Linked DNA regions of Daphnia pulex. The protein of the gene in region 1 binds, or shares a complex with, the protein of each later gene. Links are inferred from orthologs where the notes say so. Each region holds a gene or a part of one and is shown on either strand. Other genes may lie near its edges. The genes, in order: NEDD8-activating enzyme E1 catalytic subunit-like, NEDD8-activating enzyme E1 regulatory subunit-like and NEDD8-conjugating enzyme Ubc12.

The links.
Region 2: the proteins of NEDD8-activating enzyme E1 catalytic subunit-like (region 1) and NEDD8-activating enzyme E1 regulatory subunit-like are in contact, whole or in part, in a crystal structure (PDB 3DBR), measured with the Homo sapiens proteins. The link is inferred for Daphnia pulex from reciprocal best matches to the Homo sapiens genes UBA3 and NAE1. Residues at the interface, in NP_003959.3 of Homo sapiens: Trp34, Glu35, Gly36, Arg37, Trp38, Asn39, His40, Lys43, Phe44, Glu46, Arg47, Ser48, Gly49, Pro50, Phe51, Thr52, Phe56, Glu83, Lys86, Asn87, Leu90, Ser91, Val106, Ser107, Leu109, Asn110, Arg111, Phe113, Leu114, Arg116; in NP_003896.1 of Homo sapiens: Glu10, Gln11, Lys12, Tyr13, Asp14, Arg15, Gln16, Leu17, Arg18, Leu19, Trp20, Asp22, Glu44, Lys47, Asn48, Leu51, Pro52, Gly67, Glu68, Ala70, Gly71, Asn72, Asn73, Phe74, Phe75, Gln77, Arg78, Ile81, Phe92, Glu95.
Region 3: the proteins of NEDD8-activating enzyme E1 catalytic subunit-like (region 1) and NEDD8-conjugating enzyme Ubc12 are in contact, whole or in part, in a crystal structure (PDB 2NVU), measured with the Homo sapiens proteins. The link is inferred for Daphnia pulex from reciprocal best matches to the Homo sapiens genes UBA3 and UBE2M. Residues at the interface, in NP_003959.3 of Homo sapiens: His53, Pro54, Asp55, Glu61, Ser62, Phe65, Cys70, Gln149, Asn152, Asp153, Thr154, Arg157, Gln158, Phe159, His160, Ile170, Arg173, Trp174, Ser181, Leu182, Leu183, Asn184, Pro192, Ile195, Val196, Pro197, Leu214, Met217, Arg254, Met255; in NP_003960.1 of Homo sapiens: Lys3, Leu4, Phe5, Ser6, Leu7, Lys8, Gln9, Gln10, Lys11, Lys12, Glu15, Lys21, Gly22, Ser23, Ser24, Lys25, Lys26, Ala27, Gln31, Leu32, Gln35, Lys36, Ile38, Asn39, Glu40, Phe51, Ser52, Asp53, Pro54, Asp55.

The regions. Positions count from the first base shown.
Region 1 is NC_060021.1:4,975,798-4,980,110, reverse strand, and holds the start of NEDD8-activating enzyme E1 catalytic subunit-like, read right to left. Parts: upstream 2,864-4,313; 5' UTR 2,746-2,863; exon of another isoform or gene 2,651-2,745; intron 2,630-2,650; exon of another isoform or gene 2,501-2,629; 5' UTR 2,488-2,500; coding exon 2,359-2,487; intron 2,256-2,358; coding exon 2,041-2,255; intron 1,867-2,040; coding exon 1,714-1,866; intron 1,482-1,713; coding exon 1,370-1,481; intron 1,191-1,369; coding exon 1,053-1,190; intron 908-1,052; coding exon 862-907; intron 595-861; coding exon 424-594; intron 119-423; coding exon 1-118. UniProt on the Homo sapiens protein: Catalytic subunit of the dimeric UBA3-NAE1 E1 enzyme. E1 activates NEDD8 by first adenylating its C-terminal glycine residue with ATP, thereafter linking this residue to the side chain of the catalytic cysteine, yielding a NEDD8-UBA3 thioester and free AMP.
Region 2 is NC_060021.1:5,298,539-5,303,045, reverse strand, and holds NEDD8-activating enzyme E1 regulatory subunit-like, read right to left. Parts: upstream 2,986-4,507; 5' UTR 2,900-2,985; coding exon 2,829-2,899; intron 2,757-2,828; coding exon 2,592-2,756; intron 2,528-2,591; coding exon 2,345-2,527; intron 2,283-2,344; coding exon 1,936-2,282; intron 1,874-1,935; coding exon 1,579-1,873; intron 1,502-1,578; coding exon 1,296-1,501; intron 1,232-1,295; coding exon 1,095-1,231; intron 1,021-1,094; coding exon 897-1,020; intron 736-896; coding exon 623-735; 3' UTR 493-622; downstream 1-492. UniProt on the Homo sapiens protein: Regulatory subunit of the dimeric UBA3-NAE1 E1 enzyme. E1 activates NEDD8 by first adenylating its C-terminal glycine residue with ATP, thereafter linking this residue to the side chain of the catalytic cysteine, yielding a NEDD8-UBA3 thioester and free AMP.
Region 3 is NC_060024.1:11,931,607-11,934,951, forward strand, and holds NEDD8-conjugating enzyme Ubc12, read right to left. Parts: upstream 1,838-3,345; 5' UTR 1,663-1,837; coding exon 1,560-1,662; intron 1,483-1,559; coding exon 1,388-1,482; intron 1,318-1,387; coding exon 1,111-1,317; intron 998-1,110; coding exon 884-997; intron 812-883; coding exon 785-811; 3' UTR 661-784; downstream 1-660. Other genes in the region: importin-7-like, read left to right, coding at 1-68, 143-222; ran GTPase-activating protein 1-like, read left to right, coding at 2,185-2,299, 2,368-2,555, 2,615-2,794, 2,848-2,982, 3,047-3,319.

The DNA.
Region 1 (4,313 bases):
AGGTGTTCCATCACCTCGCTGAGTCGTGCGTTCTCGTGGAAGAACAAATCTTTGGGGATCTGAGAGCAGGCCACACAGCTCTCGTTCCTTTCCGCTGCGTACGTGTAGGTGTAAATCCCTGCGGATGTGACGAGCCAAAGGAAGGAAGGAAGGAGAGAAAATAAAAATACAAGAGATTGAGAAGAGCTGACGCAAAAGAAAGAAGAAGGAAAAGTCGAAAAATACCGAAGAAAAGGAAATCGAAAAAGGGGGAAAAAAAAAACCCGTGCCCAAGTGCGTCTGCGATTCGCTGCGATGCAACACACACACACACTTGACTATAAATAACGTCGGCATTCGACTCCTTTGAAAAGAGATGGAGGGTGGAGAAATGGCAGAAAGGAGAGCAGCGAAAATGCAAGGAATTTGTAAAATGTCGCTAACCGTCGGTATCGTTGAAAACCATGTAGTTGTCCAATTTGGGGGCGCAAGTGGAGGCCAGCTTGAAGACTTCCAAGGCACAGGCCGCCGCCACGACGGCATTGGTCGACGCCACAGCCGGAATGATGTGCTTAACAACCCCTTGGGCCAAACGATACGTGACTCCGAGAATTCCTGAAGGGAAACGAGAAAGTCTAGAATCGATCAAGGAACACTACACACTACACACATACACAATAAAAGAAAAATAAACCAAATCTTCTTTTTTTTTTTCTTCTTTTCGTTCTGCCGCCAAAATAAAAGCAAAACCTCATGAAAATTGTAAAAAAATAAAATAACATTTCAAGTAATATAACGCTTGAGCGATTGTGTGTCGTCAAACCCGAAAGAGAGGGGTGGTTGGGGGAGGGGGGATCTATCGAGAGAGACTATATTACATACCGTATTCGCCGGCTCTCTGCAGGGCTTTCTCGTAAATCCAGGAAATCTTGCGACATGGAACACGGGAAAGAAAAAGCAAAAACAAAAAAACGGTGAATAAGAATCGTCAGTTGAGTGGAATACAGAATAAGAAAGGGTAAGCGGGACAGGAGAGGTGGGAGGGAATAGATCTAGCGATGAAATGAAATCACATGATTTGGATCGTCGCCATCGATCGCGACTTCCTCGCCGAATGGATTCTCTTTAGGCCACTGGAGAAGTCGAGCGTATTCGATGCAGTGCTCCGGCAACCGAGGTGTATGGGCTATGGTGCACAGCGGGAAGTTGATCTGTGGGCGTTTGTCGTGAGGGACAAGAAAAAAAAGAAAAAGGGAAATCACTAACCGAAAATGAGAGACAATCATCAAATGGATTCGTAAACAAATGCCATGAAATAAAGAAAAAAAGTGACGACTTTTGAAATGAGTCCAAAAGAAAAGCTATCAAGCGGAGGAGGAGAGTTTAATACTTGAGGTGGGAACAGATCCAAAGTGCACTCGATGCAAGCGTTCATTCCTGGCAATATCACTCGAACGTTGCCTTTGAATCCCTCAGTTCCGCCGTCCACCAACGGCGTAACGCTAGCATAAAAAGAAAAGAGAAGAAAAGCCGTCAAAACGAAATGGTCAGCATGAGAATACATCTGGCACGATATCCCCAGTAAAGACCAAGTCTATTATAGCCCAACCTCCCACAACCCACCCAATGAGATACGATAGTCGTTCAACCTTCCGGCGTTCATGGGGAGAATTCGAATCAAATCCTTGAATGGCCATTCAGTTTGCAGAGACATGACGGCCTAGTAGTAAATACCTAGAAGGGTCAAGTTCTCCATCCTCGTATGTGAGCAGGCTGATGAGCATCCCGTTGATCCAGCGGCGGGCGATAATCGAGTCAAGCCCGCAGACGACAACGTGGAAGCCAGAGTAGAAGTCCTGGTCGTAGTCCTGGATTTTGGCATAGTAACTGTAAGCGGACAAATGTTTGGCCAACCATAGTTAAGGATGACATAATCACAAGCAAGGACTGCAGTTAATCGAGCGAATATAATTTCAATCCGGAGGAAAAACCAAATTAAATGTGGCGACTTCTGGCCGGCAAACTAATTGGCCCCGACTCTCTTCGAAAAAAGATACGTACGCAGTGACGTTGGCCAGTGGGATGCGTTCGTTGATAAAGTTGGCAGCGACTTCAGCTTTCGGTCTGCCAACATCCGAGTGACGGAAAAGGAACTGCCGATTCAAATTAGAAACGTCGATAGTATCCATATCGATTACGTGGATGTTGCGGAAGCCCATTAAAGCTAAATTCTTGAGCAATTCACAGCCCAAGCCACCAGCCCCTACAACGAGAATCTAAAGAAGTAAAAAAAAAAGTTAAATGACACAAATTGTCACGAATAATTTTCTAACATTTGAATTTAGTTTTTTTTTTATTTGATGCACTATTCTCACTGACCTTGCAAGATTCCAACAGAAAATCGAGTGTTTCATTTGAGGCCTGAAAGTCTGGATGAGCCAATGGTCCACCTCGCTCCAAGACTTTTCTCAAGTGGAACCATCTGCCATTCCAGCTAGTGCTACTCATGTTGATCTACTTCCTTGGATGAAATAAAATTATGTGAAATATTGTATTTATAGATTCTTCATATCAAAGGCTAAGCAGACTACTGAAGCTTGTAGGCTATAACCTTCCTTCAACTACATAATTTCCAAGGAAAGAACAAAGTCTAGAAAAAGTAAGAAAGTACGAATCACAGTGAGATCTTACAAGTCTTGGAAGCACTTTACCACTATTTCTTCACTCGTACTTGAAATGTCTCCACTCGAAAATGAATCTTTGTACCTGCTCGATTAATTCGCTAATTATCCTTCGAAAGTATCTTTGAATATTATGAACGAGCAGACGACGGTTAACAATCGCAAATCTCTTCCGCCATCACCTAGTGTCGCTCTCAACAGTTTTCTCCTGCGCGCGCGGGAGTTTCGAGAAGTTCAAATTATAAAATTATAACCGAGGATTCTTTTTTTAAAAGAAGATTAAAAAAAAAACAACCATAGGAGCACCAAAATTATTGACCAAGGAAATTTGACTAACGATGAGGAGAATTAAAGTAAAATAATAAAGTTTACAAGTCGTAAACTTATTCTTATTTATGGAAAAGATTTTTGAATGCTTGTAAACGCAACATAATTGAATTATTTAGTAATTTACTAAAAATCTGTTTTTAAAAATCTATAATTTTTGATAATTTAAGAATTTTATCTGGCAAATTGGCAATGCAAATTGGCAATGCCAACATAGCCAATATGGCAACACCGGCACCCAGGTAGCCATTTTTGTTTGATTCAATAAAATTTTCGAACTCTCAGCAGAAAGTAATTTAAAATTTTCTAGTTACTTTATCCTATTCCTATTACCTGTTACTATTTTTGTGTTTTTAGTTTATTGTTAAAGTGAAAAGGAGAAAGGAACAGTTTTAGAATTTTATCGAATATCAAGCAAAAAAAAAGGAAGGAAAAGTATTAGTATAAATTAAACAAGCAGTTAGTGTTTGGTGCCATCTGTCATACTGTGTATAAGCATACAAAATTGTTTTACCAAAAATATGACATAGTCTAACATGTCAGATGTACAGGTTTGGTATAGTTTTTGTAAGCTTCTCTAAGAAAATTGTACCACGCTGAACCAGGGAAAAATCAATACCACACTCAGGGTCATTGACAAATGTTTTCTTGTATAATTGTGCAGTATTCAATGAAAAAATATGTTTGGAAACATTTTCTTGAATTAGCCTAAAGTAGTAGGCTACATGTTTTGTTTTTTTAAATTTTACCCAAAAATTGTTGAGGAAAATGTAAGGTAGAAGACCTTAGTGATAAGTGATAACTAGCCTTAAATGATGTGTATAACATTTAAGACATTATAACATTTAGTTGTGCACAAATATTTTTTGGGGTGTAAACAACATCATACACAACATGCATTTTCTGAACTTGACATACCTTTTCTTTTTAGGAAGGACACCTTCACCTGCATCTTGTGTCTATATGAGACAACAAGGTGTGATTGTTAAAAGCAACTTGCGTCATTGGTACTCCAAAAAATAAAGACATCGATACTGAGAAATCCACCGAGGAAATATTCCATCTTTACACGGTAGCACATTTCCATTTTTTATGATCATACGTAAAGTAAATTTGTTTACGTATTATATTTTTACCCCCCGTCCCATCTATCGGCTCGTCTATCGTCTATCGAAAAATTCTAAGAGAAGAGATAAAAAGGCGGAACTTGGAAACAAAAGGCGTTAATATCCAATGTGTCGGTTAAAAAAGTACAGCATTAACGCCGATTTAACGAAGTGGATGAAACCGAAGGCTTCACCTGGGCGTTGAAATGAGCTTTAGTAG
Region 2 (4,507 bases), about 320 kb from region 1:
CTGGTTCTTTCTCTTTTGGCAGCGCTCACTAAATAACCGGGCAATGGCTCAAAGTGACCTGAGTAATACTCCGTTCGTGCCGTTCTCATCTGTGGTGTGTATGTACGTGCGTGTTTGTTGGATGCTCCCAACTGTTGGCTCGGCGCTTGCGCCAGCGCACAGGATCCCACGCAGGGGTTGATCTACACGCGTCTTCGTTTTATTCTTTTTTCTCCTTCTTCATCTTCGCGACGACGACCCTTTTTTTTTCTCTTTTCGATCTCTTAATGACTGAATCGGCCGCTCGTTTATCAGGTCGAAAGGATTGCAGAATATGGATTCTCTTGTCTTCCGCTCGTCGACTGACTTAAAAGGATTGCATCGCACCACCCGGCGGCGATGGATGGATGGAAGAAGGATGGATGGCCGGCTGTCTCTAACGATCCTCCCCAACGTTACCACAGGGCTTTTTTCTCTAACGAATAGCAAGAGGCGGTTATTGAAGTTCGGTTATTGAAGAATCATACATCCATTTATTGATAATTTGTAGAGGAGAGCGAAAAAATCGTACATTTTCTTTTCTTGTTTCTTTATTTCGGTTTTTCTGTGGGAGGAAGGAAAGGGTTTTTCTGTTTTTGGATATTTATAAGCGCAGCGTTGCCGTGGTAGTCGTAACCGAGTTGAAAATAAAAGTGTTATCCAACGGGACGTACTGCTTGGTGATGAGTTTGATAACTTCTTGGGCGGCACATCCACCTGTATTTACGGAGGAACAAATTATTAAAGCAAATGATGCAACAAACCAAATCAAAACACGAGTGAAGCACATTTTTATCGTTACAGAAACATGAAACCCCTGGGGCATCAAATAATGCGATTGTTCGCATGGACAGAAATTGGAATGGAGGATTGCTCACCAATAAATGCTGCAACGGCGTGCAACTCGGCTGCACCGTAGCGACACATCTCGTGAAGATTGTCATCCTTTGAAAGACTACCGCCTTGGCAACCAAGATCGTTAAGAAGACGAGAGAAGCAACCCTGTCATTGCGACAGATTTTCAAATTAGGATCAATATTGTCTATTGTCATCGAGTCCATCACATGTTTCTTTACCTTCAATTTAGCTATATCGGTCTCAACATTGTCGTCATAGTAACCGGGATGTGATCCATTTTCCGTGTGGAATTTATTAACAGCTCTTAAAAGAAGGTAGTGCAGCCAGGGGCTATCTGGTTCTTCCAACTGCTGATCTGGAAGTTAGACAACAAGTAGTTTTTTCTTTAATTCAGGAAGGGAATCCGATATATCACTTACTGATGTCGACATCTCCCGGGAGTTGCTTGCCATCCAATTCGGCCGCCAGTGAAGTGCCTCGTATCATTCGTAGTTCAGACGAATGCTTACAAAACAACTTGACGTCATTTTCCATCACCGATTCACTAGACCAGCCTCGCTCCTTCAGTATGAGTTGTACGTGGCGCCACACGTGTTCGGCATCTTTAGCTGCTTGCTCACGATATCTATGGGCATTGTAAAGTGCCAAGTGCCAACGTCATGAGCAGTTATTTTCCATCTTGATTGTAAACTGACTACTTACACATTCTGGAGAGCGATGTAGCGTTGAGAATCGGAAGTCATGTCGGGGAGAGAGCCACGCAGGGGTAGTGCTCCGTTTCCTTCCTTTTCCACAAATTCTTTAACTCCACGTGCCACAATCCAGAAGGGGTTTTTCTCTTTTAGATGAATGCACTGGTCGTCATTCAGGATCTTTTGTACACTGGATGGAATTTGGGTCTTATTTAGAGCTGTGTTAACCGCTTTAATGGCCTCGGCGACGTTTTCCTCGCCGCCAGTGTTAGAGTCCTCTTCTTTGACGATACCGCATCCTAATTCTGTATTGGACTAGTATTTAACTAATGAACAATTTAGAAACAAAACAAAAAAGTCATCAAACCTTTGCTTATGATATCCTTGAGGATTTGTTTTTCTTTGTAATTGGATGGCATATTACTATTGTGCTTTTCCTTCCATATTTCTAAGGCTTTGTACAACAGCATTAAATATGGTGTATGACTGAACTGCTTGTGATCCATTTCAGCTAGCTTGATGGTCTCCATGAACTCTTTCAATCCATCAAATGGTTTATCAAGCCGGAGGTCCTCCAGCAAGTTATCTGGATGTGATTCGATGATGCAATGTTCACTGACTTGAAGCCGGATAGATCCAATAAATCCATAGGATACACAAACTACCAGGGGGACATTGTTCTGCCACAAATTGGTTGACAGAGAATGCAATGACCTGTAAAACATGAGAAAGAAACTTTTAGCTTTGTCATAAACCTGATTACATGATTCACTTACTTTTCAGTAAGGCCAGTGGCTATGACAACTGAGAATGTACAAAAAAAATCTGGATTATTTGACAAAAGTTGATCACATGTTTCTTCTATGTAGTCCCCTTTCACATCTGCATTTAGTTCCATCAGCAACTGGGTTGCCACATGTGCCCGAGGCTTCCCGATTCTGTTGTGATCAAGGAAGAAACTGGGTGAAACAAAAAAGACATTACTGCCAACAGACATGAGATATCTGTAATTCAATTTTTTACTTATTCCCAGCATCCTCCCCAGAAACCAACGCACCGTCGACAATAGTGAAAGAACCGATTCCAGGCAAGACTAGAGACTTCAAAATTTCTGTTCCCGTTGCAGTTGCGTTAATAAGACAGACACTGGCACTCTCCAATGCAGCCTGCCCATGATCTCCCCAAAGCCTATGAAAATTTTGTAAAAAAAAAAATCAGGAAAAAATTTTGTTTTCAAAAAATTTAAATAATGTATTTTACCTCAACTGGCGATCATATTTTTTGCTTTTATCCGAGAGCTGACCCGGTGATTTTGGTGAAGGAGATGCCATGCTTTTGTACAACTTCCGAGAGTGGCTTTTCGTTCACTCAAACGAAAGAAACTTTTTAGATTTGTTGATGCTACTGCTACGCCATCTATCATTCATCTAGCTTCACTACACATCGACCGTAAAGTAACGCCATCTTTTGGACAATCGATAGAACATGAAGTAGAGGGAAAATCTGAAGCTTTCAAAATGTGGAAGAAAAGAAGAGTAAAGCCCCCCGAAAGGTCTAATCAATTGAAGAGTATCGATCGAGTTCCTTAGAAAGAAGCCAACAAGCCTTTATTATTGAACGTCTTGCGCCCAGACGTAGCTACATCACCAGAAAATCCCTTATTCTTGTTCTGTATTGAGTGTACTTTTTCCCAAAATCGCTGCAAGTGCAAAAGAAGCCTTTAGCCGAGAACAATCGATGGCACACGCAAACGGGGTGCCAACTGGTACATTTTCCCCTTCATTTTAAAAATAAGTTCCACAATTTTCTTTATAGACGTAATAGCAATGGAAAAAAAAAGAGCTAGAAAAGATTGAGCCCATCATGGAGGGCGGTGTAACGCCTATGACTACAGTCACAATGTTAACAGGCCATTAAGTTGCAGGCATATGTTAACGTTCGGTGGCAGTCGACTGTAAATAGAAAGAAAAAAAGATAGAAGAGTAGAGGGAGGCGGGGTAGGGTCACGCGGAGAAAGAAGAGGGGGAGTGTGCCTGCCTCTATGGTGTACAAGAGACTTTGATGTCAAAAGGGGGAGGAAGAAGACGATCACGAGGGCGGGGCGGTGTAGTATATAAATTCAACGAGAAGGAACGAACAACCCGAATCGCCATGAATCTAAAAGGGGAAGATAGAAAGAAAAAAAATGCCCAAAATAAAGATCTGGTGCCTTTGAGGGAGTCCTCACTGTTAACTTCTCGTCAACGACTTGTGTTCCTTTGCACGGGACATCAACTTTACAACTGTTTATATGTGACATGGACCGAGTCAGATCATGTTACCGCCGACAGTCCAGAACGACAGGCCTGGGATAAAGTAACAGCTCCGATTTCATTCGATCCTCCTTCGGCCACTGTCCCCCCTTTCGGCCGGTGCATAATCGACCGTCCCGAGATTCTTGCGGGTTTCATGGGGCCATCAAAACCAAGACGTCAAATGGGCGGAGTGATGTCACGCCTCTTTTTCTTCCACATTTCCGTGTGCGACGAATGGACGTGGAAAACAAACTATTTTCAAATTGTTTTGATCTTGTCTTGTGTGTAATATAATAAATCGCCTTGATTACATAATAATTAATGAGAAAAACGAGAGTTTGTAAACCGAACGAAATCAAACGGGGTGGTGAAAGATGATGAAAACAGCATTACCGATATAGTCTACTACAAAAATATGACTAGACACGCAGAAAAGTGGGCGGCGGGGAGGCAAGGGAACAACTGAAACTGTTCAATTGGTTAGAGACAAGAACGGTTAAATAAGATTTCGACGTGACTAAACAGGACTAGATTATACAATAATGAGATCGAAGTGTATAAGAGTATATAATAGAGTACCGAGAGAGAGAGAGAGAGAGATACTGAGAGAACCGATTTGGGGGAAATCGGAACGAGCTTCCTGGT
Region 3 (3,345 bases), on another chromosome or scaffold:
CGACGTAATTGTTCTTGCTGATCAACGACGCGCAGCCGCTGAAAGTAAGCGGATTGAAGAGGCTGGAGGTAAGAATTTCCTAGATTTGTGTTAATGATAATCATAAGACAATTTTTTTTTTCTCTTTTTTTAAATTCTTCAGGCTACAGTTTCAACCAACAAACGGTTCCCGATTCTTTTAATTTCGGAGGAAATGGGTCTACTTCACCATTTAGCAGATGAATGTTTCTTACTAACGTTATCGTATAATTCCTTATCAATATGGTTCTATTTGATAACATCCGTCACTATCACATTTATTGATAGCTGTGCTTTGACCTTTTTTCATCAATGCCTGGTTTTCTTATTGAATCTGTCTGATTAGGTTAAATTGCCCATTTGTTTTGTTTTTTTGGTTGCCTTTTTTTTGGAGGGGAATTTTTGTGTTGTGCATTTAGGCTTTGCTTGGGAAGGTTAATCTAACTGCTGATAATGCGCTCTTTGTAGGAAGTAGGAACACTGAATAGTTCGATACTTTCTATTCTCATCAGTAGCAAAGCCTAGTCATCCATTCCCTTCCTCCTTCTGCTTGAACCGTGTATCGTTCCGTATATCGAGTAAAGAACGGTGATGGATATTCAAGAAAAAATTACAGCTGAATGATGAAACTTAATAAAAAACTAATGATGGAACGCAAAACACGCGGATGTTTATTTTTTCTGCACATGAAAATTTCCATGTTAAAAATCGTTTGAAATCAAAGTTGAAAAGAGCCATTCGTTTTTTGTTGTATCTGATTCGGATGTTATTTCAAGCATCGTTCGAAATAAACCTGTTTTCCCCAATTAGGTTCAAAACAAGATTGTGTTATTTTTAAATATGATTTCAAAGTAATTTAGCTTACCGAACCAACATATCCCCCTCGCATGGATTTTTGGACGTTTGTTTCGAATAATCGCCGGTTTGTTTGAAGTACTTCTGCAGCTTCTTTATTCAATGGATCTTCTGGATTGGGTTCCTTGAAAATCACACAAGAACAGTGAAATAAAATAACCAACATACATCAATTCTAGGGAATTTAGGACTACTAATAACAAGATGGATTTCAATGAACTGAGAAAAAGAGCTCACCAGGAAAAGGTACTGCAGACCATAAATTATGGAGTTGATTGTTAATACTGGCTTCCAGTCTTCTCGTAGAATGTTAAGACACACATTACCTTCAAGGTCAATGTTCGGGTGATACACCTGTGTCTCACACTTCACTTTGGGTGGTTCATGAGGATAACCAGGACCAACTTTGAAACTAAAAGAAAATTTCCCTCCTCTGTAAAAACCCTGTAACAGAATAATTATAAAAAAGTTTTATAAATCAAATAAATATTTTGCATTTCATAATACGTAATACCTCATCTGGAGAAATGATTAATTTGAAGTTCAGCAAGTCATCTTGGTCAGGAAATTCCATTTGACAAGTCTTGGGTAGATTTAACTCATTAATATCTACGAGACATTATAACAAATATTAAAATAAATGGAACACGGGTCACAAGGTCAGAACTTGTTTTTAGTCAATAGACCTTTGGTGATACGCAGCTGGGCAGCGGATGCTTTCTTTTGATTTCCTGCCCGACCTGGAACTTCATCTTTCTTTTGTTGTTTAAGAGAAAAAAGCTTAATCATGATGTCGGCTCCACAAATACGAGATCTACAAATTTGGGAAAACTTAACAGGGGTTTCCTTCTTATATTTACAGAGGAACCAGTCTAGATTTTATTTGGCCCAATACAGAACAGATGGGAAATTTTTGCTGATTGAGAGGACTAAACAGCAGACTGTTGGAGAAACGTCAAAAACAATTCCATATAAATTTTTTTATGCTGCCAGAAATCCAATTGATACAACTGATTTTTTTAAATTAAAAATAATATTAAATACTGTTAGGTGTAAATTTAGTTATGAATAGTAATTAACAATTCATTTTTCTAAAGTCAATAGGCCTACCCTATTTTTGAAATGTGAAAACGCTGCACAAAGAGAAATTTCTGCTTGGGAATTCGAGGGTACGAGGGAGTCGATAAACCGACTGTTAGCGTTCAAATTAGACACGTGAATTTTTGTCTCAATAGAAAATAATACTACACTTACACTTTAGAGTGTCATCTTGGTTGAACCTGATAAAAATCATCCAACAACTTCGAAGAAATGAATGGGGCAGTGACTAAGTTTAATGGAGACTCTGAAGCCAATAATTTGAATGCGAAAGAAGAAATAGTAGATTTTAGCGGGAAAGGACTCAAGTTAGATACGGAAGCCGACGGTTTGTTCTGATTTTATGTTTGCTTTATAAATGGGATTAAAGTTCTTTTTATTGGAATTTTTCAACAGCCCAACCTATTGTTAATGCAATTCAGGCTGCAAAAGGTTTGACAGGTCTCATCCTTGAAGGAAACACTCTTGGTGTTGAAGCCGCCAAGGCTATTGCCAAAGCATTAGAATCCAAACCAACCTTCCAGAGAGCACTGTGGAAAGATGCTTTTACTGGCCGGTTGAAAGATGAAATTCCAAAAGCTTTGGTAATTTGATTGTGGTGCATGTGACGATTAACAGTATTAACCACCGTTTATTTAAATAGAGTTTCTTAGGAGGAGGACTCATTTTGGCTAAAGCTAACTTAATTGAGTTAGATTTGAGTGATAATGCATTAGGTCCAGTTGGTATGGAAGGTCTTGTTCAGTTTTTGAAAAGCCCTGTCTGCTATTCTCTAAAATGTATAAGATTAAACAACAATGGCCTTGGAATTTATGGTGGACGGGTAACTAAAATTCCATTTATTTGTAATCATAATACTGCTACCTTTTACTTTAGATGCTTGCCCAAGCTTTAAATGACTGTCTTAAAGCCAGTAAAGAGGCTGGTTCTCCATTGAGTCTGAAAACCTTCATTGTTGGAAGAAATCGACTTGAAAATGAAGGAGCGATTGCTCTGTCAGAATTTTTCAAGGTCACTGTTTTTTTTATTTTCAGTAATTATTTAATTATTTTAATTACAGCATATTTGTTTTTAGGCAGTTGGAACCTTGGAAGAAGTCCAGATGCCTCAAAATTTTATAAGACATCCTGGTATTCTCGCATTGGCCAGTGCGCTTGTTTATAACCCTGGCCTGAAAATTCTTAACTTTAATGATAACACGTTCACCTGGAGAGGATCACAAGCTGTTGCAGAAGCTCTTCCAAAATGGCAGCAATTGTCGGTTATAAACTTTGGAGACTGTTTGATCCGTACCAAGGGGGCTGAGTTCCTCGCCAAGGCATTGTCATCCGGACATGAGCATTTAAAGGTAATTTTTGTTGATGTCAATATGTT